3 separate regions of the Mus musculus genome follow, and all the other regions are reported to be linked to region 1. Evidence: microRNA targets listed by miRTarBase, many of them from high-throughput screens and not tested one by one. Region 1 holds a microRNA gene; each other region holds the end of a gene's coding sequence.
The links. Region 1 holds the annotated microRNA mmu-miR-124-3p (UAAGGCACGCGGUGAAUGCC, at 6,506-6,525, shown strand). A microRNA usually pairs through its seed, bases 2 to 8, with sites in the 3' UTR of a target mRNA and lowers its output. Matches are read on the target gene's strand: a 7mer-m8 pairs with bases 2 to 8, a 7mer-A1 pairs with bases 2 to 7 and ends in A, and an 8mer does both.

Region 2: the mRNA of Zfp3 is a reported target of mmu-miR-124-3p. The part of its 3' UTR that is shown has no 7-base or 8-base seed match.
Region 3: miRTarBase lists Slc40a1 as a target of mmu-miR-124-3p. Seed matches in the 3' UTR shown: 8mer at 3,582-3,589 and 7mer-A1 at 4,542-4,548.

The regions. Positions count from the first base shown.
Region 1 is chr2:180,887,578-180,898,284 of GRCm38, forward strand. Mir124a-3 (microRNA 124a-3) reads left to right here and starts at 6,463; the gene lies at 6,463-6,530.
Region 2 is chr11:70,769,666-70,780,372 of GRCm38, forward strand. It overlaps Zfp3 (zinc finger protein 3), which reads left to right. Exons shown (of 2, transcript NM_177565.3): 2 at 1,544-3,263. The coding sequence starts at 1,552. The coding sequence ends at 3,045. Among named protein-coding and RNA genes, the nearest start is that of Zfp3, 11 kb to the left of the region's middle.
Region 3 is chr1:45,902,170-45,912,876 of GRCm38, reverse strand. Slc40a1 (solute carrier family 40 (iron-regulated transporter), member 1) reads left to right here. Exons shown (of 8, transcript NM_016917.2): 6 at 396-641; 7 at 1,347-1,985; 8 at 3,158-4,807. The coding sequence ends at 3,471. It also overlaps the pseudogene Gm18303. Among named protein-coding and RNA genes, the nearest start is that of Slc40a1, 18 kb to the left of the region's middle.

The DNA.
Region 1 (10,707 bases):
CACGATTATGCACAAATAGGTCAAATGGCCTTTGTCCACGTTCCTGCCTGATCATGGGATGCCAAAGAGCATCTGTGAATGTCAAACATGATGAAGGCTGTTCCCTGCACACACCTGTGCCTCTCTGCAAGCCTGTCCTTTCTAGACTCCCCACCTAAGAGGACTGAGCACCTATCACAGACTAGTCCCACTTCCTTTCCTATAGTAAATGATTATAACATGTGGCCCCATCTTCTGCACCACTCTTGGACCCCTTCCTCATAACAAGAGTAGGAGGGGCCAAGGCTTTTGTTCACTACAAAGCCAATCCAGCTATCCATCCCTCTCTCCCCTTCCAGAGGTCTAGTCCAGAGAGACACGGGGATCTGTGGGAACCCAGAATGGGCAACCCTGAGGTAAGTGGTTACAGGGTGTGCATACCCAAAAAGAGTGCAGGAAAGGCTACTGCCCAACTGTCAGACAGCAATCCTTAGACCCTCCCATGAGCCCTTTGCAGACTGGACAGCAGCCTAACCCAGCTGGCTGATCCTGTGCAGGTGTGTAGAGACAAGTCACCTAGGGAGGAGGGCAAGATGTCCAGGAGGGAGAAAACAGCTAGGTGTGTTACAAGCCCTTTCACAGCTCAGCTTGACAGAACAGCCCTGTAGCTCAAGCAAGGGCTTCTCCAAGGCAATCCGCTACTCAGAAACTTCAGTCTGAGATTCCAGATCAAGCCAGCTCAGTATTGTAGATACCATGTGATCAGACTCCCTTTAGTGGGACCCTGAGGTCTGGGGCCTCTGAGAACCTACAGGAAATGAGATGGTGCACCAAGGGACTAGGCACGATGTGGGGCATTTCTGGTGAAGAGTATGAGCTCCCTCTACCACTTGGGAGGGTGTTCAGCCGAGGAAGGCTGCACAGGGTCCAGGAAGAACACTCCCTGCTCCCTACTCAGGGGTCAGGCTATAAACTGTGGGGGCAGCAGGGATAACATAGATCACTCTGCCCTGGGCATATTCAGCAAAGAGAAAGGGAACACAGAGCCCTAAGCCTAGGATGTCTTCATCCCACCTTTCCACTGCCTGGCTCTAAGATGATCAGTCAGATGAAGGTTGGGTCCCAGAGAAGGAGACACTCAGGCTCCCAGGAATCCTTGCCTCTGCTCTTCAGGGGCCTCTTCTGGCTTCCCTGAGGCCTAAGTTCTAAAAGAAGGAGCCTCTGAGGGGTAACCCTGCCAAAAGGTCTCTGTGCCTGGACTGAGTCTATGAAGCCCTTCAGAATTCCAAGGAGACCAGAAAGCATCCTCCCCAAGAGCCTGTTGTGATGCTTGACCCATTTTTCTGGTTTGTATAGGAGCAGTATTGGCTCCTGGCTCCCAGATGGTTTTATTGACATCAAGGTTCCTAGGTGGAAGTAAGATGGCTCACCAGGTGAGGACACTAGCTGCCAAGCCTGAATTTGATTCTGCATAATGGAAGAAGAAAATGGACTCCCACGAGTGACCTACTCCACGTGCACACTGTGGCACATTCCCTCAATACATGTATGCAACAAACAAAGAATAAATACATAAATGTAAATTTTATTAAACAATTTTTTAAAATACCCCTGGAGTATAGCCATCCTCCCACAGCACTCCGCCTGGGGTCTCAGGCTTGGCCTAGACGGAAAGAGAAGTTTTCTACATAAAAGCCAAGGCCCACTCTGAAAGGTAGAGAGTTGAAGGGAACAGTGTGTGCCATCTCTGCTACGGTGGGTGGCCAGTGAGTCACCTGAAAACACAGGACTCACGGGAGCATCAGAGCCTAGCCAAGGATAGCCAAAAGGTTGGACCCCAAGAACAAAAGGCCTGTTCCCGCCGCCGCGGCCGCTGCCGCCCGCCACAGGCCAGCAGCTCAGCCTGGATCCCTCAGTCTTTGTCCTGCCCTGGTTAGCCCTTGCGGATACACACTGCCTCCTGTTTGTATTCCTCCTTCGCTCCCCACCCCCACCCCAGCCTGCCGTTACCTGGCTCTCCAAGTCTATGCAGTGTTGAAGGCCCAGGTGGAGTTTCTGAGGGACCCCGGGGGGCCACGATGAGTTTCACTCCCTGGGTTTTCATCTGAGCTCTGTCCACGGTGCTCACTCTACTCAGGGAGGAGGAGGGAAAGGAGAGAGAAAAAGGGGGGTTGGCCTCATTTCCATGTGGAGGGCCCAGGGCCCTGTTCGTGCCCCCCCCCCGCACCCCCTTCTCCATTGTCCACAAGAACCTCACTCACAATTGCAGTCTTTGTAGTGGCTAGCTCCGCCCTCAGCACTCAGTCATGGTGGGGGTCCCGCCCCCCCCCACCTCTACAAAGGACTAGGAGGAGCAAGGCCAGATCTTTCCTTCCCCGTTGGCCCCACCCAGACCATAGCTTAGGGCAGCCAGAGTTAGCTGCATCTCCAGGTGGAAAGCACACCCTCGGAATGTTGGGTGGGAGTCACTCATCCTTAAACTCTCCTTAAAGCGGGCAGTGAAGTGTCACCAGGTACCTTGGGGTGGGGGTCGCTCTCAGAAGCCTCTCCCCTTGGGCATCAAGTACATGCCCTGTCTTGAGAGCTTCAGTCTCAACTCCAGCTGCATCAGGAGACAAGCTGCCCTCAGGAGAGAGGTTTAAGGCCACCTGTACTGGGTATGAAGAGGCTGAGGCCTGTGACATTCCTGTGTGAAGGCTTTCAAGCCTTGACCACCCATGTTAGATCTGAGAGGCTATGTACCATTTAAATCCTGCAGAGGGATGTGGGGCTGCAGCTGGGCCTAGAGTCCTTGCACCCAGCCCAGCAAAGCTGATCCCTTGTTCCCTCTGCTGGCCACATCTGTGTTATGGGCCCTGCATCTGTCCTACCACTCCATCCCCAGGCCACGCATGTAGAGGGGGACTGTGGGCCCTGTGGCAGCCTGAAGGCCTTCTCCTCCAACTCTTCCTTTCCTCACAGCCAGGGTGGGATCAAGGGTCAAGAGACTGTGGGCCAGCTGTTCCCAGATGTGGATCAAGGCCCCTCCCCTTTCTGGAGGAATGACAAGCCTCCTGCAGAGGAGGGGGCGGTGGTGTGACGAAGAAGAAAGGGCGGAAAGGGAGGGAGTTCTCCACGGGTTTCTGTTGATCTGTTTAATCCCACGCTATCGCAAGCTTTCGCGGATGGAGGGCAAGAGGGGAAAGGAGGGGGTCTAGTCCGCATCCTTCCCTTCCTCCTCCCACCCCCACCCCGCCTGAGCCACCTGACCCGTCTCAAAGTTGCCGGGCTGCGGCGCGCATGGCCTTTGTGCGCGCGGAGCAGCGGCCTGGAACCTGGAGCCTGAGCCAACTGGACTGTGTCGCCCCACCTTCGTGCCCCTTCCTCTCCCTCACGTACCCAGGAGCTAACAAATAAATAAATCCACAAATACAAATTCGCAGTGTGCTGGGGAGAGGCGGCTGCGCCGGGAAGAAGGAGCGTGGAGAGGTGAGGCTGGGCCGTGGGGAGTCCAGGGAAGAACAAACCTGAGCCAAGGCCCAGCATCAGTAAGTTGACTCTGAAGGTTTCGCGGTCATCAAAAAGATCCCTACCGGGCAGACTCAAAGGAACAGGCAGAGGAATGCTTGGGGTGGGCTCCCCTTCTCTTAGCGCACAGGCAGCTCCACCCCCACACCCAGGACAACCCTTCCCCCAGCCCTTCAGGGCCGGGCGGCAGGACGCAGGGAATTGGAAATAGAGAAACCGGGTGCTCCGGACTGAGTGCATAGGAGTACCAGGAGGAAACGCGCAGGCACGTTTCGGCGGAGATGCAAAAAATTAAACTTGGTTTGACCCATGGAAGGGGTGCTCTCCCAGACTCCCTATGTACCATGCTCTGGCTTGCTGTAAATATCTCTCACGAATAGTAAGGGGAGGCCGAAGGGAGGTCCTTGGCCTGGGAAGGGAACTGGTCTTTGAGGAGTCGCTGTACGGAGCCGGCCCCGTAGCAAGCGCGCTCCTAAATCCGAGGCTCTTTGGGAGTGCCTCCTCCACCCCCGCGCACCCTCCGAATAGAAACGAGATCTGGGCAGGCTAGAAGCGGAGATGTGTTAGACCACTGCAAAAGCCGAGGGTGGGGCTGAGGGATGGTAAAGGGTCTGCTGTCCTGGGAGCGCCTTTTCTGGGCGAGGATCCAGGCTCCGCGGATGGGAAGCGATTCGGGCAGGCTTTGCTGTCTACACCATGGACAGCAGACCGTGAAGGTTTGGTGTCATGGACGGTGCTGGGGACCTGACCCAGTACCCTCTAGGGAGAGGGACCACTGGCCAGGCAAAGAGGAGCTGGTTCCAACAGGGAGTAGCCTCTGCTCGGAGTCTAGATCCTCCACTCTTGAGCCACCAGCCAGTGTCCCTCGGGCTGCAGGTGCTGGCAGGCCGTGGGTGGTTTCCTTGACTTTGGGTTGGGCATAAGCAAAGGTGGGCTTAGCTGTCTGTGTAAGAGGGGATTCTCTAGCGTCGGTTGAGACTGGCACCTGCAAAGGGAAGGATTTGGGGTTGGGAGAGAAGTATCCTGACCCTCTGAGGACCTTCGGGCAGTGGGATGAGATCTCCGGAGATTACCTCCTTCCCAGCTGAGTGTCTTCGGGGGTTCCCACGGGGCTGGAGAAGGTTGGAAAGGGAGGGGGAAGAATTTATGCCTGGGTCATTTAGCTTCTGTTAGAGGGCAGGTGGTCAAGGGCTGGGTTGGCCCAGGGAGAAAGGATAGGACAGAGGCCTGCCTACTTCTGTGTGGTTCTTCCAGTCTGCAGGAACAAAGGCCCGCTGGGAAGGCCTAGAGTGGCGTGGGTTTTTTTTTTTTTTTTTTTTTGTTTTTTATTTTTGGAAAGCCGCTGATCTCTAGCCCTAAAGACCCAGATCAAGGTAGTCACCCTTCAATAGACTGCAAAGAGTAGATTCAATTGCAGTCAACTGTGAAGTATGGACTGTGTTTCTCCCATCCTCGTAAGCAAGGACTCGCTACCCAGCTAGAAAAAGGGTGAAAAAGGGGAGCAGTCTCTGATGGGGGTTGGGGGAGATGTCTAACTCCCTTCTCCACATAGGGCCGCCAGCAGGAGGCTAGGACCCCTTTCTTTCCCCCCCCCAGGAGAGAGAGGCTCAGAAGCCACTGTGTAGAGTGGTTATTCCGGAAGGACCAGCCGCTTGTGTGAGGCAAGCACAGTGTGTTCGCTGCACAGCGGGGTGTGGCTGGTGGTGGGTGTAGAGGAGCTGCGGTCGGTGGGCTGCGGGAGAAGCTTTTGCGTGGGTCGTGCAGTAGGACAGAATGAGCGGTTCGAGAGTGTCCAAGAGGCAGTTTCTCTGCATACGTGTGACCCCGGGGCGCCGGGCACAATCGAAGGCGTTCGAGGGCTGCATCCGTGTGAGTCGAGGAGCGCGCGGAGCGGGACGCCGAGCGTGTGCGCGGGAGGCACGGGTCGCGCGGTGCGTGAGTGCGCGTGTACGCGGTGCGCGTGCCCCTCAGTTCTCAAGGACACCTCCGAGAGGAGGCGGCAGAGCCGGTGTCGGGTGACGTCACCGCGCGCCCCAGTGATAATCGCCCGGTGCCGGAGCCGAGCGCGGATACGAGCGGAGGCAGCGGCGGCGGCGGCGAGCGCGGGGACGGTCGCACCCGGTCTAGGCAAGGAGAGTGGGAGTCAGACTCCCGCAGTGCCGACCTCGCGGACGCCGGGCTCCCACCCGGCCCTCAGGAATTTGCCCGGCTTCCTTGGCACTGTCCCTGCGCTCTCCTCCACCCGGGGCCGTAGCGTGCGGGTCCTGCGGGCGCCAAGAAGGAGGCGGAGGCGGGATCGGGCGACAGCGCAGGCTGTGCTGCGGAGCGGAGGCGGCAACCGAGAAGCAGCAGGCGGCGGCGGCTCGCGCCCGGACGGGTAACTGCGCTGGCGGCCCGTGCCGGGGCGAGCCGGTCTCTCAGGTCACCCCGTCTTTCTCTCCTCGAGCAGCTTCTCGCCAGCCAGAGGCGTAAGAGAAGAGAGCTCGGCGGGTTGTAGAAAGAGACTGCTTTTCATCTCCGAACATCGAGGTTCTTTATTTTCACCGCACTCACGCACTCCTGGTGGGGCCGGGAAGAGGAGCCGGGGAAGGGCAGCTGCGGAGAGGCTTGCGCCGCCGGGGTGGAGAGGGCTCTGCACCCGTCAGAAGACTGCAGCAGGCCGGAGCACGCGCGCTCACCCCGGCCGGCTCCTGCATCTCCCTCGCCGCGGCTCCGAGGGGTCCCTACTGCAGGAACGCCCCGAGGGATTTGCCCGGGCCCTTCTCTACCTCGGGGAGGGGAAGGAAAACTGGCTCCTCGGAGTTGGGGGCGGACCAGGGCAGCACTGCCAGCTTAGCGCGGAGCCCCGCCCCGCCCGCCCGCCCCGCGGCGAAGAAGCTGGAGCATTCGCGCCCCTCAGGCTAGGACCCCACGCAAGCCGCAGCCCGGCCCCGACCCGGTCCAGCCGCTCGCCGCCCGCCGCAGCCCTGAGGGCCCCTCTGCGTGTTCACAGCGGACCTTGATTTAATGTCTATACAATTAAGGCACGCGGTGAATGCCAAGAGAGGCGCCTCCGCCGCTCCTTTCTCATGGAAATGGCCCGGGAGCCCGGCCGTCGCGGCGCCCCTCCCGCGGGAAAAAGGCGAGCCCCGGCCCCCGGTGGCCCCTCGCTCCGCGGACAAATCCGGCGAACAATGCGCCCGCCCAGAGGGCGGCCCAGCTGCTGGGCCGGGGATCTGGCCGCGGGACACAAAGGGGCCCGCATGCCTAGGACGTCACGAGAAGGGTGGGGGCGACCGCGGGGGAGAATGTGGCCACCCGGCCCCTGACCACGTGTGTCCGCAGCTCTGAGTGCTCGAGATCCCGAAGAGGGAGACGAGGGCCAGAAGACAAAGGGAGGGGCTGGGGAAGCGGCGGGCTGAGGGGCGCGGGAGGGAAGTGTGCAGCTTCCCGGGTTGTGTTGGCGCGTCCCGCTACCCACGGGCAGTCCTGGGCGCTGTCCTCGGTGCTGGCCGTGGAGTCACCCAGAGAGACGGGGCGCTAATGCGCTTGGGGCGAAGGGATGTCATGAGTATCACTGTTCCCATCTAGGGGGCCCTGGATAGTTGCCGCAGCAACCCCAGAGAAATGGGGTAGGGTCTGGGGTCACTGCAGTCTGTCCCCTGGGCGCTCTAGTTGGGGTCGCAGGGTGAAGGCGGTGATCACTTTGATTCTGAAGAAACCCCTGAACCTTAGGTTGAGGTTCGAGCTGTGGAAGTGGGGGATCTGCATCTGCATCCAAGGTCTAAATCTGGGTGGATACACTGGACCGCATCCCGCCCCCAAACCTCTCTCCAGCTATGCGGGACGCGAGGCACGTGAGGCTCTGCAGCCCAGAGAGAAAATGACAAATCCTCCTCCTCCCTCCCCCACCACCATCTGCAGCCGCAGTGACACCCACTCAGGTCTGCTGCAGGCATTTTTTTTCCTGTCCTCGGCAGCCAGCGCCACCTGCTGGCGTCCTGGTATGAGACTCTGCTCTGGCATGTCTCCTCCCAGCAAGGTTTCCGATCCCCAAGGTTACAGGCCCTATTACCTAGGGCAATGGTTCTCAACCTTCAGAATGCTGCTACCCTTTAATAGAGTTCTTCATGTTGTGGTGACCCCTCCCCCCAACCATAAAATTATTTTCGTTGCTACTTCGTATTTTGTTGCTACTTCATAACTGCAATTTTGTTACTGTTATGAATCCTAATGTAAATATTTTTAGAGATAGAGTTTGGCAAAGGAGTCCTGATACACAGGTTGGAAACTGATGACCTAGGATTGACTGTCAGTGGAGGAGGTCACAACCTCTGCACCCCCACCCCCTCAGACAAGTTGCAGACTTGCTTTTCATCTTCATGGGGTGAGTGTGAGCCCCTTTCCTGGCTCTGACCCAGATCCAGAACTGACCGCCCAAATTCTCCTAGCCTCAAGTCCTGTGCAGTTGCAGAAAAGCAAGACAAAAGGGCCCGCGTGAAGACACAAAGAGATGCTGCAGGGAGACTGCTTCAGTACTCCATGGAGAGATGCACACAGTCACACACTCATAGACCACTAGTGCCTTTGCATCCTGTCCCCAAAGCAGAGCCTCTGCAGAACCTCTGCCTCTTGGAGGGTGGAGAAGGGGCCCAAGCATACCACAGCTCTGACCTTGGGCTTGCTGTCTCTTTTTCCCTTCCTCCCTCAGAAGAGCTGCAAGGTGAACTCAAAGCAATACTGAAGGAATTGGTAGAGGTATCAGTCCTCTAGTGTAAAGGTTCCTAGGGGGCACAGGACTATGCCCCTCGTTGAGCTCTGTTGGGGGTGCTCTACACTGCAGCCTGGCTCTTTTCCCAGAGGGAAGATTCCCCCTGCCTCTCCCCTGGAACTAGAGCTCCATTCTTGTGCCACCGCTGCCCTTGCTGGAGAGTTGGCTCCTGACCACAGTGACCTTCTGGGCTGTGAGCAGAGATCGGGGTGGGGAGGATGGTAAGGGAGGTGGGCTGGAGAGTGGATAGGCGGTAAAGCCCATGGCAAGCTGCCCTGTGCCCCAGCCCAGGTTGAGTAGCAATCACCTTCACTCACCTTCATTGCACCCCCTTCAGTGGAGGCTAGGGGCTTCAGTTCAGGGGCACAGGACCAATCTGGGCATGGCTAGCAGACATGGGGCATTCGGTAGGAAGGCCATTTTTCAATCCTTACTGTGCTCAGGGTGCAGCACTGTCTGCTGGGGTGTGGGCAGGCCTCACGCAGGTGACTTAGAATCTCAGATCTACCCGTAGGGGGCTGAGTGCAAGCATCACTCTCTGACTCTCGGGACCAGCAGCCTTTTCTGCAGCCGCGCTTTGTAGCCTTTGTGGGCTAGCTTGGATGTCCATCCCTGTTTATCCTAAAATACATTCATCCCTACATAGACTGCCTGATCTATTTAGAAGCCAAGGCTCAGCATACGGGCTTGTTGGGTGCCAACCTGGTCAACAGCAAGCTGGGGAAAGAACATTCAGAACATTCACATAAACCTCCATCGGCACTGGGCCCTCTTAAGTGTAGGGACTAGAGAAAGGAGAGACACGGTTCGAGCATCCAATATAGTACATCTCCACTCCGAATGAAGCGCAGCATAGCTGCTGTCCCAGAGCAGTCACCTCATAGCTTTCTTGGGAAACCCTAATTCTCTCCAGAGGGGAGCATGTCACTTTTAGCCTTTTTGTCCTATTGGGACTGGAGATGCTTCAGAATTCAGCTTCCTGTCTCCATACTTCCAGCTCCCAGTCACAGCACTTCACGTGGAAGCATCCAGGAGCCCCGCACTGCTTGCCCTGAAGTCTGTGCTCTGGTAGTCTCTACCCGAGGCTCCAGCCTCTCTGCGCCTCATCGCCCCAACCTTCACTCCTGATGCAGCGGGTGGGGGCAGAGATGTTTCAGAGGGAAAATTAAGATGCTAGAGTGCTCCTGCCATAGCTTGTTAGAGAGACAGAAGAAAACGTGGGAAGAACTTCAATTGGCAGGAGGGAGCGAAGAGGGTCTGATTCTGCATGGCGGCCCCATCCAAGAGGAAGCAAGACAGGTATCAGCTTCTCTAGTGCACACACACAGATCTCCTCCCAGCCTCAGGCTATGCCCAGTCCACATGGCACACAAGTTCTACTTTCCACAATAGAGCTTCATTGGCAGCACCTCCCAGGGGTGTGATCAAAAAGTCATGGGAGTCCAGATTGCAGGGGCCTCTACCTTAGCCCATGCCTGCCCACTCGTACCCTAAATTCTACAGGATTCTGCCTTTACCCAACACAGGTTCCCGGACCTTTGTTACCAACAGAGGTCTAGGCTGCTCCTCAGCATCAGCTTGACCAGAAGGGTAAACCAGTATCCCCATGGCTACCTGCGACCTCCTAGTTGGTCACATGAGCAGGCCTAGGCTTCCTTGGAAGCTGAACCGTGAAAGTGCTGGCTCGGGCAGAATTTGATTTAAAGGGAGGATGAAAAGGGTCCGTTTGCACAGCCTGTTGTGCCACCTACACCCTCACAGCTGCTCCCATCCCTTCAGAGCTTAGGTACAGATGTCCCTAGCTCCTAGCATCAGCCAAGATGTAATAATAGCAACAAAAATTAATAGTAATAATAGCAACATGCCTGCCCTTCCAAGGTCTACACTTCCTACCTGGCTGCCACAGCCTTGACATTGAGGCAATCTCCACCACCTAGAAAGCCGTTCATCAGGAAGATAAAAGATAGAGCTATCATCTGTGCTTCGAGTGGGGGCCAGACACAACTTAGAAGTCCACATACACGCCGTTTCCACTGAGGCTCTGATGGAGGGGATAGGAGGCCTTTTCAGCAGGACAGGAGCACGCTGCACTCTGTCGTGTGACAGCACTCTCCCGGGAGCTAGGTCCCATCTTTGGTTCTCAGCCACTTTAAACAGGTCTTGTCAGGTTACCCCAGAGATGTCTGTAGAACCTATGTAGTCCTTCTCTTGCCTGAATTGTCACCCAAACTACCACTGACCATGAGCAGAGGAGATGAGCCTAGCACCTGGAGGACTGGGCATTATCTAGCCTGTTCATCCCCTGGGGCCACACCACTGTGAGTTTATACCAGGAGCTACGGAGCTATTCTCAGTGTGTGTCCAGATAGCCAGAGCGCCGGAATCAACATCCTTGAACTACTCACAATAAAGCCCAACTCTAAATACAGTGTCAGCCCACATGGAAGGATGGCCCAAAAAGGACCAGGTTT
Region 2 (10,707 bases), not on the chromosome of region 1:
CTGGGAGTCTGAGCTGGGAAGAGCCAGAGACCTTCACAGTTCTGTCATACCAACTGTAGAATGCCTGCCTCTGGCCTTCATTTATGCAAGGCAGAAATATGTTAATGCCTTGGCTAAGGCGTGGTTCTTAAAAAGCTCATTATTGCCAGGCATGGTGGCACATACCTCTAATTCCATCACTCAGGAGACAGGGGCTCTGAGTTCAAACCAGCCTGAGTTCCAGGACAGCCAAGACTAAACAGAGAGAAGACCCTGTTTCAAAAAATAAATTGTATTTGGGCGTAGTGTCTATAATCCTGAGGCATAAGTAGGAAAATCCTGAGTGTGAGCCTCAGTTAGACAGAGTGAGACTCTGTTTAAAGAAAAAAAAAGTATACATACATTATTACATGAAGTCAAGCCTACTTCTAACTAATATAATTGTCCTGGGAATCTTACTGTCCCTGTCACAGGAGTGAGTTCCAATGACACAATAGCAAGCCTGGTGTTTGCTCAGCTGGCAAACAATGTCGAGATCATCCTAAAACGGCTCTGTAGGGAGTCAGAACCTAGTGCAGTTCAGCACATTTACCCTCACTTCACCCAAAAGTAAGGGGCTAAGAAGTTACTCTTGTGCTGTTGTATCACCCTTTGAGTAGGTAACCCCTGTGCACTGCTCTTTAGGGCTATTGGGTAATACAGATAAGAAAGAATACATCCTCTTGGGGGCTGGAGAGATGGCTCAGTGGTTAAGAGTACTGACTGCTGTTCTTCTGAAGGTCCTGAGTTCAAATCCCAGCAACCACATGGTGGCTCACAACCACCCATAATGAGATCTGATGCCCTCTTCTGGTTCATCTGAAGACAGCTACAGTGTACTTACATATAATAATAAATAAATCTTAAAAAAAAAAAAAAAGATGCATCCTCTTGCTCAACACTGTGTGGCTCTTTCATCTTACATTCAAAAGTTGTCTCTGTTAACTTATCAGTCTCTTCTCTTCTCTTCTCTTCTCTTCTCTTCTCTTCTCTCTCTCTCTCTCTCTCTCTCTCTCTCTCTCTCTCTCTCTCTCTTTCTCTCTCCTTTGTTTTTTTGAGACAGGGTTTCTCTGTGTAGCCCTGGCTGTCCTGAAACTCACTCTGTAGACCAGGCTGGCCTCGAGCTCAGAAATCCGCCTGCCTCTGCCTCCTAAGTGCTGGGATTAAAGGTGTGCGCCACCACTGCCCTGCACTTTGGTTTCTTCTAACCCCTTTCATACACCCTTTGTTAATATGGCCATTAATTCCCCACAGTGCTTTCTTTATCACTTTGAATTCTCCTGTAACTGACAGTGCCACACAGCTCCTGCCAGCATCTCTGCACTGCACACTTCCTGTTGCTATCAGATGTTCTGTCTCTTATGGGTTTTTCTCACTCCTTTAGGTCAGCAGCAGTCTGCCATTGCCTCACTGGCAGGACTGTCTTTGGGTCTTACCAATGCCATGTCCAGGCCCTGTGTCCCCACCTGCAGTGTCATTTAGATAGGACAGAGCAGCCTCACATGAGTACCCTCTCTTCTTTCAGATTGTGATATGGGGACTGAGAAAAAGGAGGGACTTCCCAAGGAAGAAACTTCTGAAGACTCCAAGCCACATGGGCAAACAGTAGAAAAACTTGCACAGGAGGTTTGCCATGGCCATGAGTTTGGAGAAGCAAGCGAGGAAGACATGTCAGAGGGACATTTGAGAGAGTCCTCGAAAGAGATTATAGAAAAAAGGTATCCTCAGGAGAGACACTTTGCATCTGGGTTACTTATCTTCAAGAAGTCGTCCTCAGGTGAGAAAACCAGTGAGAATCCGAGAGGCTTTAATCCTAACCCTAGTGTATTGTGTCATGGAGGTGCTGAGAGGGCCAGCGCATGTGCTGCCTCTGGCCACAACTGCCTGGGGAGTATAGAGCTTACTAAAGCTCAGGGGCCTCCTGTGGGAGAGAAGCCTCACACGTGTAAAGAGTGCGGGAAAGCTTTTAATCAGAACTCACATCTCATCCAGCATATGAGAGTCCATAGCGGAGAAAAACCCTTCGAATGCAAAGAGTGTGGAAAGACCTTCGGGACTAACTCCAGCCTTCGAAGGCACCAGAGAATTCACGCCGGAGAGAAACCCTTTGCTTGCACTGAGTGTGGCAAGGCCTTCATTCAGAGCTCACATCTGATTCACCATCACAGAATCCATACTGGAGAAAGACCTTATAAATGTGAAGAGTGTGGTAAAGCCTTCAGTCAGAACTCAGCCCTTATTCTGCACCAGAGAATCCACACTGGAGAGAAACCCTATGAGTGTAACGAGTGTGGGAAGACCTTCCGGGTTAGCTCACAGCTCATCCAGCATCAGAGAATTCACACAGAGGAAAGATACCACGAGTGCAGTGAGTGCGGCAAAGCCTTCAAGCACAGCTCCGGCCTCATCAGACATCAGAAAATCCACACGGGAGAAAAGCCCTATCTGTGTAATGAATGTGGGAAAGGCTTTGGTCAGAGCTCGGAGCTTATCCGCCATCAAAGAATCCACACAGGGGACAAGCCCTATGAGTGCAGTGAATGCGGGAAAACGTTTGGCCAGAACTCAGAAATTATTAGACATATCAGAATTCATACCGGGGAGAAGCCCTATGTGTGCAAAGAGTGTGGGAAGGCCTTCAGGGGTAACTCGGAGCTCCTGAGACACGAGAGGATTCACACAGGGGAGAAACCCTATGAGTGCTTTGAGTGTGGGAAGGCCTTCAGGCGGACCTCTCATCTGATTGTCCACCAGAGAATCCACACTGGGGAGAAACCCCATCAGTGTAATGAGTGTGCAAGAACCTTCTGGGATAATTCTGAGCTGTTGCTTCACCAGAAGATTCATATTGGAGAGAAACCTTATGAGTGTAGCGAATGCGAGAAGACGTTCAGCCAACACTCCCAGCTCACCATCCACCAGAGAATTCACACTGGAGAAAAGCCATATGAGTGTCAGGAGTGCCAGAAGACCTTCAGTCGGAGCTCCCACCTCCTCCGGCACCAGAGCGTTCACTGTAGCGAGTGATCTGCAGGCCAGGAAGGTGGTGTGGGGAGGCTGGAGGCAGACTTCTCCATTGCTCTGTACCGGGGCCCTAGGATCAGATGAAGGGACAGGGCCTGCCCCTGCCCGTCCACTGAGTGTGTGCCAGTCGTCGGCCGAAAGTGATGAGGCAGTTTTATGAACTATTTATTGAGAAGTTTCAGCATACTAAATTAAATCATAAAAGTTATCTCCGGCTTTAATCCTCCTCTGGCCTTTCCTTCTGTCTGTCTCCACAGGGTTCTGTACATGTGTCTAGCCTAAATTGTTGTTGTTCTTTATGAAAAGTGGGGACGGGATTCACCATTCCTAAGAACCAGAGGGTTGACTCAATGTCTCCTGAAATGTTAGAAAGGTCTAACCTCTCCTTCCACTCTAACCTCTCCTTCCACTCTAACCTCTCCTTCCACTCTAACCTCTCCTTCCACTCTAACCTCTCCTTCCACTCTAACCTCTCCTTCCACTGCTTGGCTTTCTAACCTCTCCGTCCACTGCTTGGCTTTCTAACCTCTCCTTCCACTGCTTGGCTTTGGATACTAACCTTTCCTTCCGTTTCTTTTTTTAAGCCTCAAAATCTTTCAGCTATAGTGATCATAGTGAAAAGGCAGGAAGCTTGCATCTTCTCACACCTCCTGATAGATTCCTTATTTATCTGAAGAGGTTTCTAGGAAAAGGAGAAAGTTTACAGGACAGGAGCCAAAAGCCTGAAAACCCAGAGGAAGACGGAGAAAGAGTGGAAGTCGGGCTACCGGGCAGAAGAGGCTTGGTAGCCGCTGCCCTTGCTCTGCGCTGTGTGCAGACTGCCCAGGCAGGCGCCTGCCGCAGGCCCTTGGTCGCAGCTCCTGCTGTTGCAGCCATCCTGTTAGGAAGTAGTAAGCAGGATCCTGTGGCCTTTCTCTGCCAGACTGCTGGCCATGGTGGGGAGCTGGATACCTGGCTAACCAGGCCTGGCCCTTCCAACATTGAGCTCTCATGACCACCCAGCTGGGGGCTCAGGGTAACAGATGGTATGTGAAGCCTCTTTGGCTTGTCTGATGGTCGTAGAATATTTTTCCAACATCTCTACACGTCTTCTGTGTCCTCCAAGTCTGACACTTCCACGTTTGGGGTAGGCAGTGGTAACAGCAATGGCAGTAAAGAAAACCCAGGAGCCTGGGCTCTCATCTGAGAACTGTCCCTTCGGGAAGGCCCTTCAGTCCCTGCTGTCCGGTTCTCTCATCTGCAGAGCAAGGGGTGTTGAGTTAAATGATCTCTCAAGTCTCAACCAGCCTCTAAGGAAATAGACTAATCGCTTTTCTTTTCAGCACTGTGTTTAACTAGTCTTTTTGAGCCAGGCAAGCACTCTACCGCTAAACTATGGCCCTAACCCTCCTTCGCCACCTCCCGTGCCAGAAAGAATCCTGATGAGCTGTCCAGGCTGGTCTTTTACTCACTGTGTAGCCCAGGCAGACCTTAAATTTGTGATCCTCCTGCCTCAGCTCCCTAAGTAGTTGGGATCTAAGTAGTTGTCTGCCTGCCAGGCTTCTGACCATCAGTATTTATAATTAACTCTGTGCCAGGCAGTGTGCCCGTCAGCTTACATTTGTTTCTCATGGTATGTGTATGGTGTGGGCACACCTTTTAAAAGTAGCTTTATTTAGGTACAACTTACATCATAGGGTTCGCGGTGTGTGTTCAGTTGAGTGACTTTTAGTAAATTACAGAGTTTTGGTATTTTCCTCAATGAAGTGTTCTGGAGTCAAGTTAAAGATGAATGGGTTTGGCGGGACAGGGCGTGTGAGGTGATTTACCTGGGATAGTATTAGGTCTAGAGCTAAGACTAGTGGCCACTGTTGTATTGGCCTCTGTGCTGTGCACAGGCCCATCATTACTGCCTACTTTTAAACCCTTTGCACCCCTTTTGTCCTTACTAGTCACCACCTAGACTTTAATACAAAGAATTGTAACCACATCTTTGCAGATGTGACTCAGCCCAGCCCCGTTGTGCAGAGCAGGCGTGTTCTGTACCCTGACACCAGTTCTCAGGTTCACAGCCTGCCTTGAGAAAAGGCTGATCACTTGTTTCCTAGATCCACAGGTCGCTCCCCGGGTCAGTGTCTGGCAGGGGAGGCTCTCGGGCTGGCCCAGGCTGTGGCCTCACTCTTTACTGATTGATGTTTTGTTCAGGCTCAAAGGGAGCTGTGCTCACACCATCTTTCTCACATGACACCAGGGCATCACCCACTGCTTTTAACTTCTGGTTTCTGTGTTGGCATATTTTACTTCCAATTTCATCCCTTCCGTCATCATATAGAACCAGCACCTTACAAGCCCCATTTATAATGTGATTGAATAATTACAATAAAAGTTAAAAAGCCAAGTGAAAACCCTGTCTGAAAAAGACATCAACACTCCTCAGACTTCCCCCAAAGGAAGCTTGCACAAAGCACTAAGGACTTCACTGCGGGTGAGCGTGCTATGGAGGGTGAAGGTTCGCACTGTCTGTCCTTCCTGCTAGGCAATCTCCTCAGAAGTCCCTTCATGTTGAAAGTAGTGGTGCAGGGTTTGTTTTGTTATGTTTGAGACAATCTCTCCATGTACCCCTGGCTGGCCTAAAGTTTGCTGTGTAGACCAGGCTGATCTTGAAATTGGAGACTTCCTTGCCTCTGCCTCCCCGTGGTAGGATTAAAGACATGAACCATCATGCCCGGACCTTTTCTGGGCTCCGTCAGTTTGGGCTGTTAGTGTTGTTTTGGTTTTTGGTTTTGATAACCAAATCCTTCCACCTAAGTCCAGCACACAGTTGCTTTCTTTTTCCTTCCTTTCCTCTCTTCTTCTTTTCTCCTTTTTAGACACATCTCAAATAGCCCAGACCAACCATGAACTCCCTTTGTAGCTGAGGGTGACCTTGAACCTCCGAACCTCCTGCCTCCCAGAGGGCCGGGATTACAGTCGTGCACTGCCATCCCCAGCTCAGGGCTTTGGGCATGATAGCAAGCACCAACTGGGCTCTGTTCTCAACTCAGTTTCCTTAAACCATCACTGCTTAGCAAAAAGGCCTTTTACCCCATTCGTCCACTTGAACATTAGTGACAAGTTTTTCTTGTGCCTTACATGCTTGGAAGAGAATGAAGGCCTCATGTTCCAAAAGAAATTTATGTGCGTGTTGCCTGAGAGGAATTCTGGTTGAGGAAATAGTCTTCATCTTACGTTTGGCATATGCATATCCTCTGTCCTGGTCTGTTGATCCCTCTACCTATCACTTGGTTGTTTGAGGGAGACTTCTCAATTTCCCTCATTTGCCCTCCTTACTCTCAACTCGCCCTGGTGTCCCACGTCCCACTGTAGCTGTGGCTAGCAGTCGTAATTCTATGCAAGCAGAGTCCTGCCAAAGACAAGTCACGAGCTAACTTCAGACCCACTCTCAAGAAATAAAGTAGGCCTCTCAGGCTGAAGCCATTAACTGCCCAGAGAAACTCTGCAGAATCTTCGAAGGTATGTCAACACCCGTTCCCTCCCTCCCCTAACATTTTAAGCAAATAAAGTATGTCTTTGCTGATGTCAAAAGGTGCTGTCTTTTAAATGCTTGTGTGTGTATGTGTGTTCATGTGTCCACTCAGTGCCCAAGATTGTGTGTGTATATATATGTATGTACACGAAGTACTTGTGGAGTCCAGAAGAGGGTATCAGATGTCTTAGAACTGGAGTTCCCTCTGGTTGTTAGACACCACGTAGGTGTTGGGAACTGAACCCTGGATCCCAGATCTTTGAAAGAGCAGCCAGTTGTCTACTTACTTACTGTCTCTTACTTAACTGCCCCTCTCTAGCCCCACCAAGGTGTCTTGGTTTAGAGTATTAGGGACATGCCTGAGACCTGCTGTCACTAAAACACTTGCAAAAATCAGAGTGATAGAGAGTTGCCACTGCAGCTGTGAAATATCAGCCAGAGGTGATAATTAAAAAGCGAACAGCCAGGACTAATTGGCTGGAGAGATGGCTCACCATCATTCCCCACCTCAGCTAATTTCAATGCAGGTCAGGGGCATTGTGCAAAGTCGGCTCTGACAAGGCGGTCTCTGAAACAGAGTCCTGTAGCTCATCTGGTTTACAGTTGTCTCAGCAGGCCTCAGCCATTCATGGAGCAAAGAGAGCAGATCTTGGTGCACAGGTACCTGGCAGAGTTGAGTTAATGCATGCCTGTTGTTTGACCTTGGACCCAGATGAGATACGGTGTACAACAGTAACAGACACGGAATGGCAAGCAGCAGGATGAAGGTCCTGGGTGGTGTGCAGCGACTCCATCCCTGTGCACCTTGCACCTCTGCTCTCCATCCCCATGACCTCTGGCCTCTCTTGATCTAAGGATACCAAGTCGGGGCCCTCCTTCTTGCATACAGAGGAAATCAGGCCTAGGACCCCCACGTCTGAGAACGGCCACCCAAGCTTCCAGCTCCACCAGGGAATGACACTGCACCTCACTTTGAGGGGCCCAACCTCAGACCCCAATATTCTTGTCAACTTCCACTTCCAGAGCGCTCTCCAAGTTGAGGGTGGTAGTTTTCTCGAACCCTACCCTGCTGTGCTCGCAGATCTGAGCCCACAACTGCTTCCTACAAGCTGGAGTGTGCTGCATGGTGCGGACTGGGCTCTGTGAGCGCTGGTTGCGTAGAGCTGGGTGGGTGGAGGCTGCCCTCTAGCGTCCACAGAAACATCTACCAGCGCAGCGATAGCGCCTCAAGGAAATCACACCCCACCCATTATACAAATGTGTAGTGTACTCTGAACATACTTCTTCCCTTTCTTGTTTCTCATTAATTCTGTCTGTTCGTTATACAGTTATCATTCTTTCATGTCTATAATATCTATATGATTTATAAAAATGTGATATTTGTCTTTCTGAGACTGATTAAATATACACACACAACACATGCCATTCCTCTTTTCTATCCATTCCTCTTTTCTATCCATTCCTCTGTTCAGAGTCACCTAAGTTGCTTTCATAACTAAGCTATTGTCGATTGTTTTGCAACAGACACGGGCATGCCTGTGAGTGTGTCTGTAATATGTTAGCTTAAGAGTGCTTTGGGTAAGCACCCAGGAGTGCTCTAGCCGGGCCCGTGGTGCATCCATTTTCAGTGTTCCGCAGATTGTTCATACTGACTTCAGGGGTTGGACCAGTAGTGTGTAAGTTTCCTTTGTCTCAGCACCTTTGTCTGCATCTGTTATTTTCTGTTCATCTGTGTGGATGTGTGTATGCATGTGGATGTGTCCCTGAGTGCAGGGCCCAGATGTGGTCCCTGAGCCACTTAACAGCGCACTGGGAGGAAGAGCAGCAGGGTCTCTCTCTCTCTCTCTCTCTCTCTCTCTCTCTCTCTCTCTCTTTCCCGAGACAGGGTTTCTCTCTGTAGCCCTGGCTGTCCTGGAGCTCACTCTGTAGACCAGGCTGGCCTCGAACTCAGAAATCCGTCTGCCTCTGCCTCCAAGTGCTGGGATTAAAGGCGTGTGCCACCACTGCCCAGCTGTATAATTTTTTTAAACAGTAAAGGTCCCTAGATCCACAGTGTGTTGAGATCTTAATTCACCTATAGATGGCAGTGTTTGCAACCGGTGGTTTAAAACTGTAGCTTCAAGTTAAGACATCAGAAATAAACCTTCATTTTAGAATAAATAAATAAATCCCCAGACAGGTGTGGTGACTTACACACGTAATCCAAATACTTGAGAGGTTGAGTCAGGAAAATTGAAAGTTTGAGAGCAGCCTCGGGCTACAGAGTTTGTTTGATGTTAGCCTGAATTACCTAGCAAGTGTCTGTGTGTGTAAGTCTGTATGTGTGGAGCTAAATTGATGGTTCAGCAAGTTAAGTGTAAGAAGGAAGAATTGCGTTTTTATCCTTAGAACCCATTCGAAATTCTGTGACCCTAAGCGAAGGGCAGACAGGTGATTCCCAGAGCTCATTGGCCAGCCTAACCAAGTCAACAAGTCCCAGGCTTGGGAAAGACCCTGCCTCAGAAACTAAGGTTGGAACATGACAGAAGGCACCTGACATTAGCCTCCAGCCTACACACGAACACGCATAGGTGACCACACACGCATGTACCAAGCACAGCTCTCTAGATACACAGGCCTCTGCTGTTGTCTTCCTGTTTGGTGGGAAGGTAAGAGTTAAATTAAAATGGCAAGTTTCAAGTTGTCCCTATTGCCTTTCTTCTCCCCTACCATGAGAACTTACTGAGCATCACGTGCTAGCCCGTGCTAAGTGACAGAAATTTAACATTCCTGTGGCTTCCATGAAGCTGAAAGTCCCTTGTTGATGGACAGGTATGTTGCCTCTGCTTTCTCATGGCACACACATTACAGGGGACAAATGACACTACAGGACATCCTATGCAGGTTCTCCAGCTTCTCGAGGACATTGGTTCTTTTCCTTTTCCTTCCTTCCTTCCTTCCTTCCTTCCTTCCTTCCTTCCTTCCTCTCTCTCTCTCTCTCTCTCTCTCTCTCTCTTTCTTTCTTTTTTTTTCTTTCTTATTTTTGAGACAGAGTTTCTCTGTGTAGCCCTGGCTGTCCTGGAACTCAGAAATCTGCCTGCCTCTGCCTCCCAAGTGCTGGGATTAAAGGTGTGTGCCACCACGCCTGGCTGAGGACATTGGTTCTTAAAGTGTGCGCTGGGTCACAAGACCAAAAACTATTTTTTGTAACAGTAATGGGTTATTTCCACTGTTTACATGGTCTCGTATGAACACACAGTGGAACTTGCAGAGAGACCATGGCAGGATATAGTGACAGACTGACTGACTGTGGAAACAGACAGCAAACTGAATGTTCTCTGTTTAGCTATAGTGAAAGAGATCCAGAAAAAAAATATAGCACACACAGTGAGACTCTTTATTTTTTATTTTTTTGTTTTGGAAAATAGATGTGTTTTTATTACAATTTATTTGTGTGTACGTGTGAATGTGTGTGCATGTATGTGTATAGATGACAGAGGGCAGTTTTCATGGAGTCAGTTTTCTCCCTCCACCATGTGAGTCCCACAGAGCAAACTCAGATTGTCAGGCTTGTCAGTAAATGTTCTTTACTTGGCGAGCCATCTTGCCAGACCAGATTTATTTTAAACAGACAGACAGACAGACAGACAAAACAAACAAACAGCAACAACAACAACAACAGGGGTTCTCTGTAGCCCTGGCTGTCTTGGAACTCACTCTGTTGACTAGGCTAGCCTCAAAGTCAGAGATCTGTCAGCATTTGCCTCCAGAGTACTGGGATTGAAGGCACGAATACCACCATTGCTCCCAGCTCAAGCTCAATTTTCCTTTCTCCCTTTTTTCCTTTCTTCCTTTCTTCCTTCCTCTCTTCCTTCCTTCCTTCCTTCCTTCCTTCCTTCCTTCCTTCCTTCCTTCCCCCTCCCTCCCTCCTTTTCTTCCTTCCCCCTCCCTCCCTCCTTTTCTTCCTTCCTTCCTCCTTTCTTCCTCTTCTTTTTCATATTTTTGTTTGTTTATTTTAAGATTTATTTATTTATTTTATTTATGTGAGCAGACTGTAGCTGTCTTCAGACACACCAGAAGAGGGCGTCAGACTTTATTACAGATGGTTGTGAGCCACCTTGTGGTTGCTGGGATTTGAACTCAGGACCTCTGGAAGAGCAGTCAGCTCTGGAAGAGCTGAG
Region 3 (10,707 bases), not on the chromosome of region 1:
TTTATGGTCGGGGTCACTACAGCATGAAGAACTGTATTAAAGGGTCATAGCATTAGGCATGTCAAGGGCTACTGCTTTAAAGGAGCATTGTATTTGTTTTGCCACAATTTAATGTTAGATATATTTAAATGCCTGTTTATGAACATATTTCTATACATATATGTAATATACAATGTATATTATAGTATATATTGCTTATTGACTTTTCCTAGAGAAATGTTAACTTCAGGAAAACAGGGGAGGACAGATTTTTTTTTTCTTCACAGCAAATGGTTTGGCCAGAGAGTGCCTTCAGGAGCAACCCTCTCGGGAGTCTGTACTGTTGGTTTAGATTTATAGCACATAAACAAAGGTTGTAACTCTCACTTACCTGCCTCTTGCACCTACCTGTGTAGACATGAATGCTACCATTAGAAGGATTGACCAGCTAACCAACATCCTGGCCCCCATGGCTGTCGGCCAGATTATGACATTTGGTTCTCCAGTCATTGGCTGTGGTTTTATTTCCGGTTGGAATTTGGTGTCCATGTGTGTGGAGTACTTCTTGCTCTGGAAGGTTTACCAGAAGACCCCTGCTCTGGCTGTAAAAGCTGCTCTCAAGGTAGAGGAGTCAGAACTGAAGCAGCTGACCTCACCTAAAGGTAACTGCACAACCACTAGCTCTGTACTCAGACCTTGAACTTTTCTGTGAAGACCAAGTTCTAGTCCGGGCTGTGTTTCCAGGGAAAGCCTAGATGAGTTGGAATATCATCTTTTCAGATTCTGGAAAGAACTGTGGGTTGAATATAAAAAGGCTTGGGAGGTCCCTGGCCCTTCTTCATGAAGCAGTGGGCATAGAAAACAACTGCTTGAGGAGGCCTGGGAAAATGATCCATAGAAATGGGACGATGGGAACATGAGCATTTCTTAATATTTTCTGAGGAGAATAAAATCGCCCTTTGGAAACTGTGGGAGGCAGAAAGAGAGGCAAGATTTTTCCAGGAGGAGTGGAGGCTGGTTTTCTGGTAAATGAACTCTTTATGAGGTTGCAGAAAAGAAGATATCCCCCCCCCCCCGCCACATAATTTTTATGCTTTATTTGATGAATGTTGCTGCAGTTTACTTCAATGAGAGTGTAATATCTAAAAGAAAGAGAGGTTTATAAAGAGACCAAAAGTATTTTGAAAGCAAAACTGGTATTTGAGAGTTATTCCATGGCTGTACTTCGTAAATTAGCAGTAAAAGAAAAACAGATTATAATGTAGTACTGAAGGAGATTCATATAGGAAGGGAGTGGGGAAATCAAAAATAATTGGCTTTTACTCCTCATGTTCTTCCTCTAAAATAATGATGTTTCTTATTAACAGATACTGAGCCAAAACCTTTGGAGGGAACTCATCTAATGGGTGAGAAAGACTCCAACATCCGTGAACTTGAATGTGAACAAGAGCCCACCTGTGCCTCCCAGATGGCAGAGCCCTTCCGCACTTTCCGAGATGGATGGGTCTCCTACTATAACCAGCCAGTGTTTCTGGCTGGCATGGGCCTGGCTTTCCTCTATATGACAGTCCTGGGCTTTGACTGTATCACTACAGGGTACGCCTACACTCAGGGGCTGAGTGGATCCATCCTTAGTATTTTGATGGGAGCATCAGCAATAACTGGAATAATGGGAACTGTGGCCTTCACCTGGCTACGTCGAAAATGTGGCCTTGTTCGGACTGGTCTATTCTCAGGACTAGCCCAGCTTTCCTGTTTAATCTTGTGTGTGATCTCCGTATTCATGCCTGGAAGCCCCTTGGACCTGTCTGTTTCTCCATTTGAAGATATCCGTTCTAGGTTTGTGAATGTGGAGCCAGTGTCCCCAACTACCAAAATACCTGAGACCGTCTTTACAACAGAAATGCATATGTCCAACATGTCTAATGTCCATGAGATGAGTACTAAACCCATCCCCATAGTCTCTGTCAGCCTGCTGTTTGCAGGAGTCATTGCTGCTAGAATCGGTAAGAACACTCTTTCTGCATACTACAAAATTACAAGCATCATTTTAGAAACCTAGTGTAGAGAATTCAACAATAAATTATCTGAAGTACTTAACAGATGTTAATTTAGGCAAAACCCATAGTTTATCTATAGAATATACTCTCTAAACATGAAATTTCACTTAATAGTTTAAACTATATGTTTGCATGTATATATGTGTGTGTGTGTGTGTGTGTGTGTGTGTGTGTGTGTGTGTGTATAAAGTGTTTTGGGTTTTTTTATTTTCCTAAGTTGTGTGTCTGTGGTGTGTTGGAAGAAAACCCAGGACCTCATGCATGTCAAGTGAGCCCTCTAATTCTGAGTTAGGTCCCTAATGGAATATTTTTAAGTCTTTCCCCCTTTCCATGTGTGTCTGTGTGTGTGTGTGTGTGTGTGTGTGTTACTGGGGATCAAGCCCAGAGCCTTCTGCATGCTAGGGAATTGCCTTACAGACAAAGACACTCTTCTAAAGACAGAGTGGTTGTAAGAAACATCCTTCAAAAGTCTTCTGTAGCTGTTTGCATTTACTCTATACTTTGACTCACATATGAGGTTTTAAACTTCTTTCCGGAAGCATTATGGAAAGGCCACTTACAGAGCAGAATTTCAGTAATCATTAATGGAATGCTGGTGAATGGCCTCTGAATTCATTCATTCTTGAAATGAAACCATATTTATCTTGTGATACAGAGCAATTCATTAATTTATCAGGGACATTAATACTCAGTCAAGACAGCTTTATTGGGAGCCCTATGATCCTCAAGCAGCAATATAACAGTGGTTTCAAGTTTCTGTGCTCTTTAGCTGTGGCAGTACATTAGGTCACTCTAAACTTTAGAAGTGCTAGAATCTATATAGGCTCTGCATCCTTGATGCTTTTTACTGAGAAACTTACGACTCAGCTTTATCTTGTGGCTGGGGAAATCATTCTTGAAGGCATTAGCACATACTAGTAAGTTATATAGTATACTATATGCTAATAAATTATATAAGGTAAAATGCGGTTAATCTGTTCTATATATAGGTAATTCAAAGGTTGTAGAACTTCAATGTGTTTTGCATATATTAACTCACTTGGATACTGTGAGCTATGTAACTGTACATTCAATTATACACTAAAATTTCACCTCCTAAAATATTCTTTACCATCCAGGTCTTTGGTCCTTTGATTTGACGGTGACACAGTTGCTGCAAGAAAATGTAATTGAATCTGAAAGAGGCATTATCAATGGTGTGCAGAACTCCATGAACTACCTTCTTGACCTTCTGCATTTCATCATGGTCATCTTGGCCCCAAATCCTGAAGCTTTTGGCTTGCTGGTATTGATTTCAGTCTCCTTTGTGGCAATGGGACATCTTATGTATTTCCGATTTGCCCAGAAGACTCTGGGCAACCAGATTTTTGTTTGTGGTCCTGATGAAAAAGAAGTTACAGATGAAAATCAACCGAATACATCTGTTGTATAAAAATAGTTTAGCTGTGGCCCCTGTTACTAGATTGTGGAGAGCATGTGTGCTTATTTTGTACTGCAGAATCCCAATAAATGCCTGCATTTCTCTCTGGTTTTACCACATCTGTGCCTTAAGGGCTAGGAGCACTAACTAACCATCGCCAGCAAAGATGGTTATTTCTCCTTACATGTAAACATTGGAAAATAGGAAGAGGGAGAGGCAGTCAGCGTGTGTATAGGAAGGGTTTAATGGTAAAATGAACTTCCCTTACTCTTATGAGTATATTAAATTTTAAAGAGTGGTTGTCAGGTGAGTAAAATTATTCCTTAGCAGATATTTATTATCTACTGGAATGATAAATCAATTCACCCTAAAACTCACTCTTGTAAAACTCTGCTCCACTTCCTTTTTTTAAGATCAGTGATATTTTTCTCAGTTACATTACAGAAACAAGTTTTTCCTCCATGTATGAAGGTTATAGTTAGATAATGAATGTTATCCTTATTAATCCCATTGAACTTAAGGAATTTATTGTATGTGGAGGATGAAATGTGTAACTAGACTTGTCCAAAAGGTTCATGGAATAACTTTTGCATTTTGACCATCAGAAAGGGCAAAATATTACAGTAATGTGTGTATGGTGGCTCTTCATAAAATGACTCTCAAAATCTGCAGAAAGAAGAAAAGTTGTAGGTTTCTAGTGTGGTACAGAAGGACTTAAAGCTTGTTATTAGTGTGATTGTAGAAACTGGAAGCTAAGGGTGAGGACCTCATGTAACCAGAGTCACTGTCATCAGCCATCACTAACTATTTTGGTAAATGAGAGAACTGACCTGGCACCTTACAAGCAGAAAAGCGGCCCACACTAAGAAAGGACTGCAAATCAGTGAGTCTGTATAGAACATTTTACCTTCACTGACTTGGGCCGATGTGTTTGTCATCTCTGTGTTTTTCTAGAGCAAGAATAGTCACAAAAGTTCCCCTTTCAATATCCCTGAGAAGAATAAAGAAAAAACTGTTTGTAAATATTTTTTTAAAACTGTTCTGCAAGTCTTTTTGTAACATGCAGTACCAACATGGGACATTGCCTTAACTTTTGATGCACTTTCATGGAGACTGACTGCCATGCATTGCTGTGAGCACTTTCTTTGTCGTTCAGTTTAATCTTTTCCTTCACCTTTATTACAGTATGACATAATGATCTACTATGTTGTCAAAGCTTCATAAAATATTTCTATATAAAATGTTTGTAGAATCTTCATTTGCCTTTACTGAGTTGTGTTCTCCCAATTATTGTTACTTATTTCAAAATTAGCATATAAAAAGTGTTTGATATCATCATCGCCCTTTGAACAAAGTGTGCTGTAGTCAATTTCCCCTCTCACATGCTCCTCCCTATCCACCCTCCTTGCTGCCTTCCAGTAACTTCCCTCCTATGTCTTTCTGACCATGTCCTGTCCTTCCTTGTCACCTAACCATACCTTGTCTTTGTACTGTGTACAAAGTCACATCACATCTGGACTCAACATCTGTATCCATGCACACACTGAAGATGAGAATCGGCATATGAAGCAGAACTTGTTTGTCTTTCTGAATTTGGATCTTTTCACTTAAAATTATATTTTCCAGATTCATCTATTTTTCTGAAATTTTCAAATTTTCATTCATCCTCATAGTAGAAAAAGATTCTGTTGTGTATAATGGCACATTTTTATTATTGGTTCATCTCTTCATGGACATGTAGGCTATTTCCACTTCCCTGCTATTGTTAAGGGAGCAGTGACTAATGTGGTTGGATATAGAATCCTATGCCCTGGAGTGGTATAGTTGACTCATAGCATTTCTTTTTTTAATTTTTTACAAACTCTTCATAATGATTTATATAATGGCTATATTAGTTTTCACTCCTACCAGAAGTGAGCAAGGGTTCATTTTTCTCAGTTCCTTGCCAGCGTTTGCCATCAGATTTCCTATGATGGTCATTCTGATGAGTGAGGTGGTATCTCAAAGTACTTATACTCAGAGCACTTCTGATGGCTGGGGATGTTGAATGAGTTTGAGATTCTTATTAGTTATTTATGATTCTTCTTTTTTTAAAGATTTATTTATTTATTTTATATGAGTACACTGTAGCTGTCTTCAGACACAGCAGAAGAGGGCATCAGATCCCATTACAGATGGTTATAAGCCCCTAGATGTTTGTTAGTAATTGAACTCAGGACCTCTAGAAGAACAGTCAGTGCTCTTAACCACTGAGCCATCTCTCCAGCCCATAATTCTTCTTTTGGGGAGTTATTCATTAGCCCATTTCTTTTTCTTTCTTTAATTTTATAAGTCAATACATTTATTCTATGAGGGGGCCAGTCTCATAAAACCGTACCTCTATTGTAACACACTTAAACTACAAGAATCCTAGAGGAGAAGAGTGCTTGATACTTTCTGCAGATGCAACATCATTCACTAGCTCAGAGGAAGATCTTGACTTTCCAGTGTGCCTCAGACTTTTAGGTGATTGACATTTCCATGCTCCATTCAGCAGTGGACATTCACTTAGGATTTCATCAATCTCCAATCCTAAGCTTCCATTTCTCTGTTTCACAATCAATCTTATAGTAGTTCTGCAAAAAAGCAACATTTGGTCTCAAGATCATAAATATAGGCCCCACCATATACTTAGAGCATTGAGTTGTTTCAAAGGCGATAATTTGGGGCTGTCTTTTGGCCCTGAGTATATCCAGGAGCTCAGGACAATGTTTTCACTCCAGAGGGGCAGGGTATCGCTCCTGGGTCAGCTGACTCAGCTTGGCTATGTGGTGTAGAAGTCATTTCAGGAAAAGCAGAAAGACATTATCATAGAAATCGACCTCTCTGAGGTGAGAACATTGGCTTAGGGCAGGCAGCAGGGCACTGAACTGAGAGTCCTCTATACCACATGACTCCAATTCCAGGGTTTGCAGGGTATCTCTAACTCTCAAGAAGAAACCCAATAGGCTCAAGGAGTAAATAACATAAATATTTATATCTCACTAAGTTAAAGATGTTTGAGCTCACAAATATTCAGGCAATAGGGCTGGTAATCCAAGGCTGACTGGAAGGTCACAGTTAGTGATGCAAAGTGTCGCCAAAGGCTTCTTCAGGCACCTGAGGCATTCTTTTAGGTTGCCTTTTATAAAAGAGACATTGTTTGCATAGAGTTTCTGGCGACAGTGGAGTGTGGGAAGTTGAGAAGTCAATCTGAATATTTTTCTCTTCATCACGCTTTTCAGAATCACCCATACTGGAGGTACCTATGATGTGATCTAGTGTGAGTATGAAAAGACTTTTCATCTGTCTCAGGTAGGGATTAAGAAAAGCCAACTCTTCTATGAAGATACAGTTTAGGACAAGCTCCTGTATACAGCCGGGATGTACACTTTTGAAGATTTCTATGAACGTGGCTTTGGTTAAGCCCTGAATCTGCAGATTTCTACAGCATAGGCAAACAGAATCTTTTCTCTGCTGGGCCCACTGCAACAGGTATGTGGCAGGTTCATCAAATCTGCCCTTCGTGAGATGGAGTTCAGTTGTCACCTTCAATTCTTTCTTCACCTCACAGTCAAGACTGTTCTCCATTGGCTGCTTCTGTGTAATGAACACTGGTAAGCCTTCACCTTCATGGGATCCAGCCCATCTCCCACACAAGTCATGTTCTTTATCTCTCCAAGGGAGTGCTCTGAGTTCGCACCTACTGGTTTGAACCTTGTGTGCAAGTAGTGTATCTAATCCCTCAAGCACAGCCTCCAAAGTCTCCATTCAGGAAACATTCAGTGACCCTTTACTGGAGATGTGGTCTAAGCACCACATCTGTGATCAGGCTTGCTGAGTGCAAGTTTAACAGACATGGTAGACAAAGATCCCTTTTACCCTCATATTAAGACATTCTGGCATCAGCCCTGGAGATTTCACAGACAGCAGATGCCAAATGTTAGGCTTGGCTGCAATCTTGCACAGGCCCTCTGCTCCCTCCCAGAGGTCAAGCTGGGGTTAGATATCTGCTCAGAGTGTTTGCAGCCATAACTGAAGGTCTGTGACCTTGTCCACTGAATAGAACCATCTGAGCAGGAAAAGATCCCAGCACTTGATGCAGGCACTTCGCCAAATGCCAGACCCACAGGAGCCGTGCAGAGCACGGAGTTAATAGGATTTTTACAACAGCTGCTGCCCTTATCTTTGCAAGCTATTGCACTGAGCAGGAGGAGGGGCAAAAGGACGGGAATGTTTACTGCCTGCAGGTTTAGAATTATGTCAGGGGTAGAACACTGGAAGGGGAAAGAGAGAAACTAAAAAACGCTTCAGTGTCAGTGGGCCAATATAGCATAGTGAATTAGAAGTTGGAAAATAGTCCTTTATTTTGTTTGTAATTACGTTTTTAAAAGAATTCTTCATTGGGTTCCTACTTGAAATCACATTCGTTGCAGCTTGTTTGTTCGTTAGTTTTTCTTGTGTTCTTTTTTCATTCTCTTTAAGCAGTTTCTTCCAACAGACTACTTTGGGTTGTCTATTAAGAACAATGAAGACACCTTCATTTTTCCTTTCCCTTTGGTTAATTTTCATTACTTGCATAAAACGATGGGATTTGTTGGGACATTTTCAGTCATATGTATATTTGGGTCTTACCCACCACTCCATCTCCTCTGTCCCTCCCCTCCCCTCTGACTCTTTCCTCTTCTCTAATGGTCTCTCTTCTACCTGTGTGTCTTCTTTTTTGTTCTTCTAGATTCCTAAAACGAGGGAAATGAAATTTTTCCCTTTCTGGTCTGGCTTATTTCACTTAACTTTCAAAGAAGTATTCCACCTGTCCCTACCTCTCCTCCACCCCACCCACCAGTAACAAACCTAACAAGCTTGTTAGTCAATGTCCTTTGTCCTTTGCCCTTTGTGAAGTAAAAAAATCCCTTTCCCATACACTTTTATAAGGAAAAGGGTGCACAACGAATTCTGAAGGTACCCACACCCAAGGCCTGTGGGTAGAGAATGAGGTGTGCTCAGGGTTCAGAGCTCAGCCAGCGAGTACATGACCCCTTGCCATGTGATGTGGACCTGTGCTGGTCAAACCTGGCACTATTAAATATTGATGATTAATCTGAAAACATACAAAAAAATTTAAGCCAACCCACCAAATAAACAAAATGCATGTGTTGCCTTTTTTTTCTAAAAGAGAGTGAGAGAGAGGATTAGCATTTTCTACTGAGGTGGTTTATGAATACGTGGATAGTATTTTCATAAAGTTAGTGATTGAGAAATGAAATTTACACAGAAATTACAAAGTCTGGAGAACCAGGGAAAACTTGGCAAACATTTGTGATGCAAATTTCAAACTAGAAAGTATTTACTACCTATCATGTCAATGTTAAGGATTTGGGCATCTCATTTCTTTATTTCATGTGCTACCTGCACTGTTGGGTTAAACAGTGATGTTTTAAAACAACTTTTAAAAAATTGTCATGATAATTCATTCCTCTTGGACAAAAAGAAAACCGTGTAGGGTTTGACTGAAATGCTCACTTCCCAACCTGTTCTGAATTTTTGGGAGTAACCACGGTAAACATTTTGTTTATTCATATATATATATTATTTTTTTTTGATGAAGTGAAAGAGATACGTCCTTGTTGTATAACCATAGTTTGTTTGCCAAGGTTTTTTCTCTACTGATCAATCTGTGAATATATCCAGAGTTTGAAGAAAGACAAAAAGTCAAGTTCACCTTGACGGTTAGTATATTTATCAAGCATTATAAAGATCTACTACATGAGTAAGTAGATATACAAATTTCCTAGTATATTTTACCATGATTAAGAAATAAATTTAGGGGACTATAGAGATGATTCAGCAGTTAGGAACACTTGCTGTTCTTGCAGAGGAGTCTGATTCACTTCCCAGCAGTCACATGCATGACACAGATCCACCTGAGTCTTCAGGCCTCTGGGAGCACATGCACACATGTGGAGCACACACTGACCACATGAATAAAAATACATACAAATTTTAAAAATAAACTTAGCCTAAGATAGTAGATAAGACCAAAAACTAAACTAAAATGTCCAAAGAAAATAAAGAAAAAACCCTGAGTTTCACCTTTTTCCATAAATTATTCGTACTTCAAAGCATTACAACTTCATCCAGGGTGCCTTCTTTCTTCCCTTTGATCCACCCTTCAGAATAATCCTTACTATCAGAATATTTCTCTTGTGCAAGATGGTAGCTCAAGACTAGAGTAGAAATGCTTGAGTCTTGTGACAGCAAGTGCATATTTTACCTGACAGGTATGAACTGTTCATCTTCCCCATACTTTAAAAATTAAAAAGTATACATTCTTCTTTGTATGTAGACTTGCTCACACTTTCCAGATCTACAAGGGAGCACGTATTTTTTTTCTAAGGAGTAGACAAATGGGATATCAAAGCACAGGTGAATTCTTTTATCCCTGCCCTTGTGCAAGCTGGCATAGATTTTCTATTTGAACATTTTCCTTATTGAATTTTACTACATGAAAAGTGCACCGTCATGTTCTTAAAATAACTATATCCAAACTATCTTAGGCGGTTGCTGTCCTTACTACATGTATATGTGAAATTTTATAGAACTAATTTTCAAAGCCCTAAAATAAATAACATAATGCACATTGTGGTTTAGATCAGACTTACAAGGTTTTTTTGTGTTATATTCTAGAAAGAAAATTTTGCCATGATAGAGTTAATATTTTATTTAGCATTATGTATTTATCAACTGGATGCAAATTTTCTCACTTAATTCTAAGGTATTTAGGTAAAAGGTATTTGGGATAGTAGAGCAGAAAAAGATAATATTTGAACATCAGTTATTTGTTTGTATCTAATTCATTTAATTCCCACCATAAGTTAGTGAAAAATATATACTGCATATTGTACAGGTGGGAAAGACTGACCTGTAGAATAAATATTGTATGAGTACATAGTTGGCAAAATGCAGAACAGGCTCTCAAACCATTTGTCTACTTTCCTCTTTACCACTCAAAGTCCTATGAGAGCTTTCCTAGTGGGAAATGTTCTTGATGGACCTATTTATATCAACTGCATCTTACCCTGGAAATGGGCAGAATTCTGTCAACTAGCTGAATGTGAGTATTTCTGACTGGGTTTCCAGGGGACTAGTTTGTCCTATATCTGTGACTGTCTTGCCTGTTAACATTGTCAGGATTTGTGCTTGTGCAGTACTCTGAGTATGTTAAGCCTT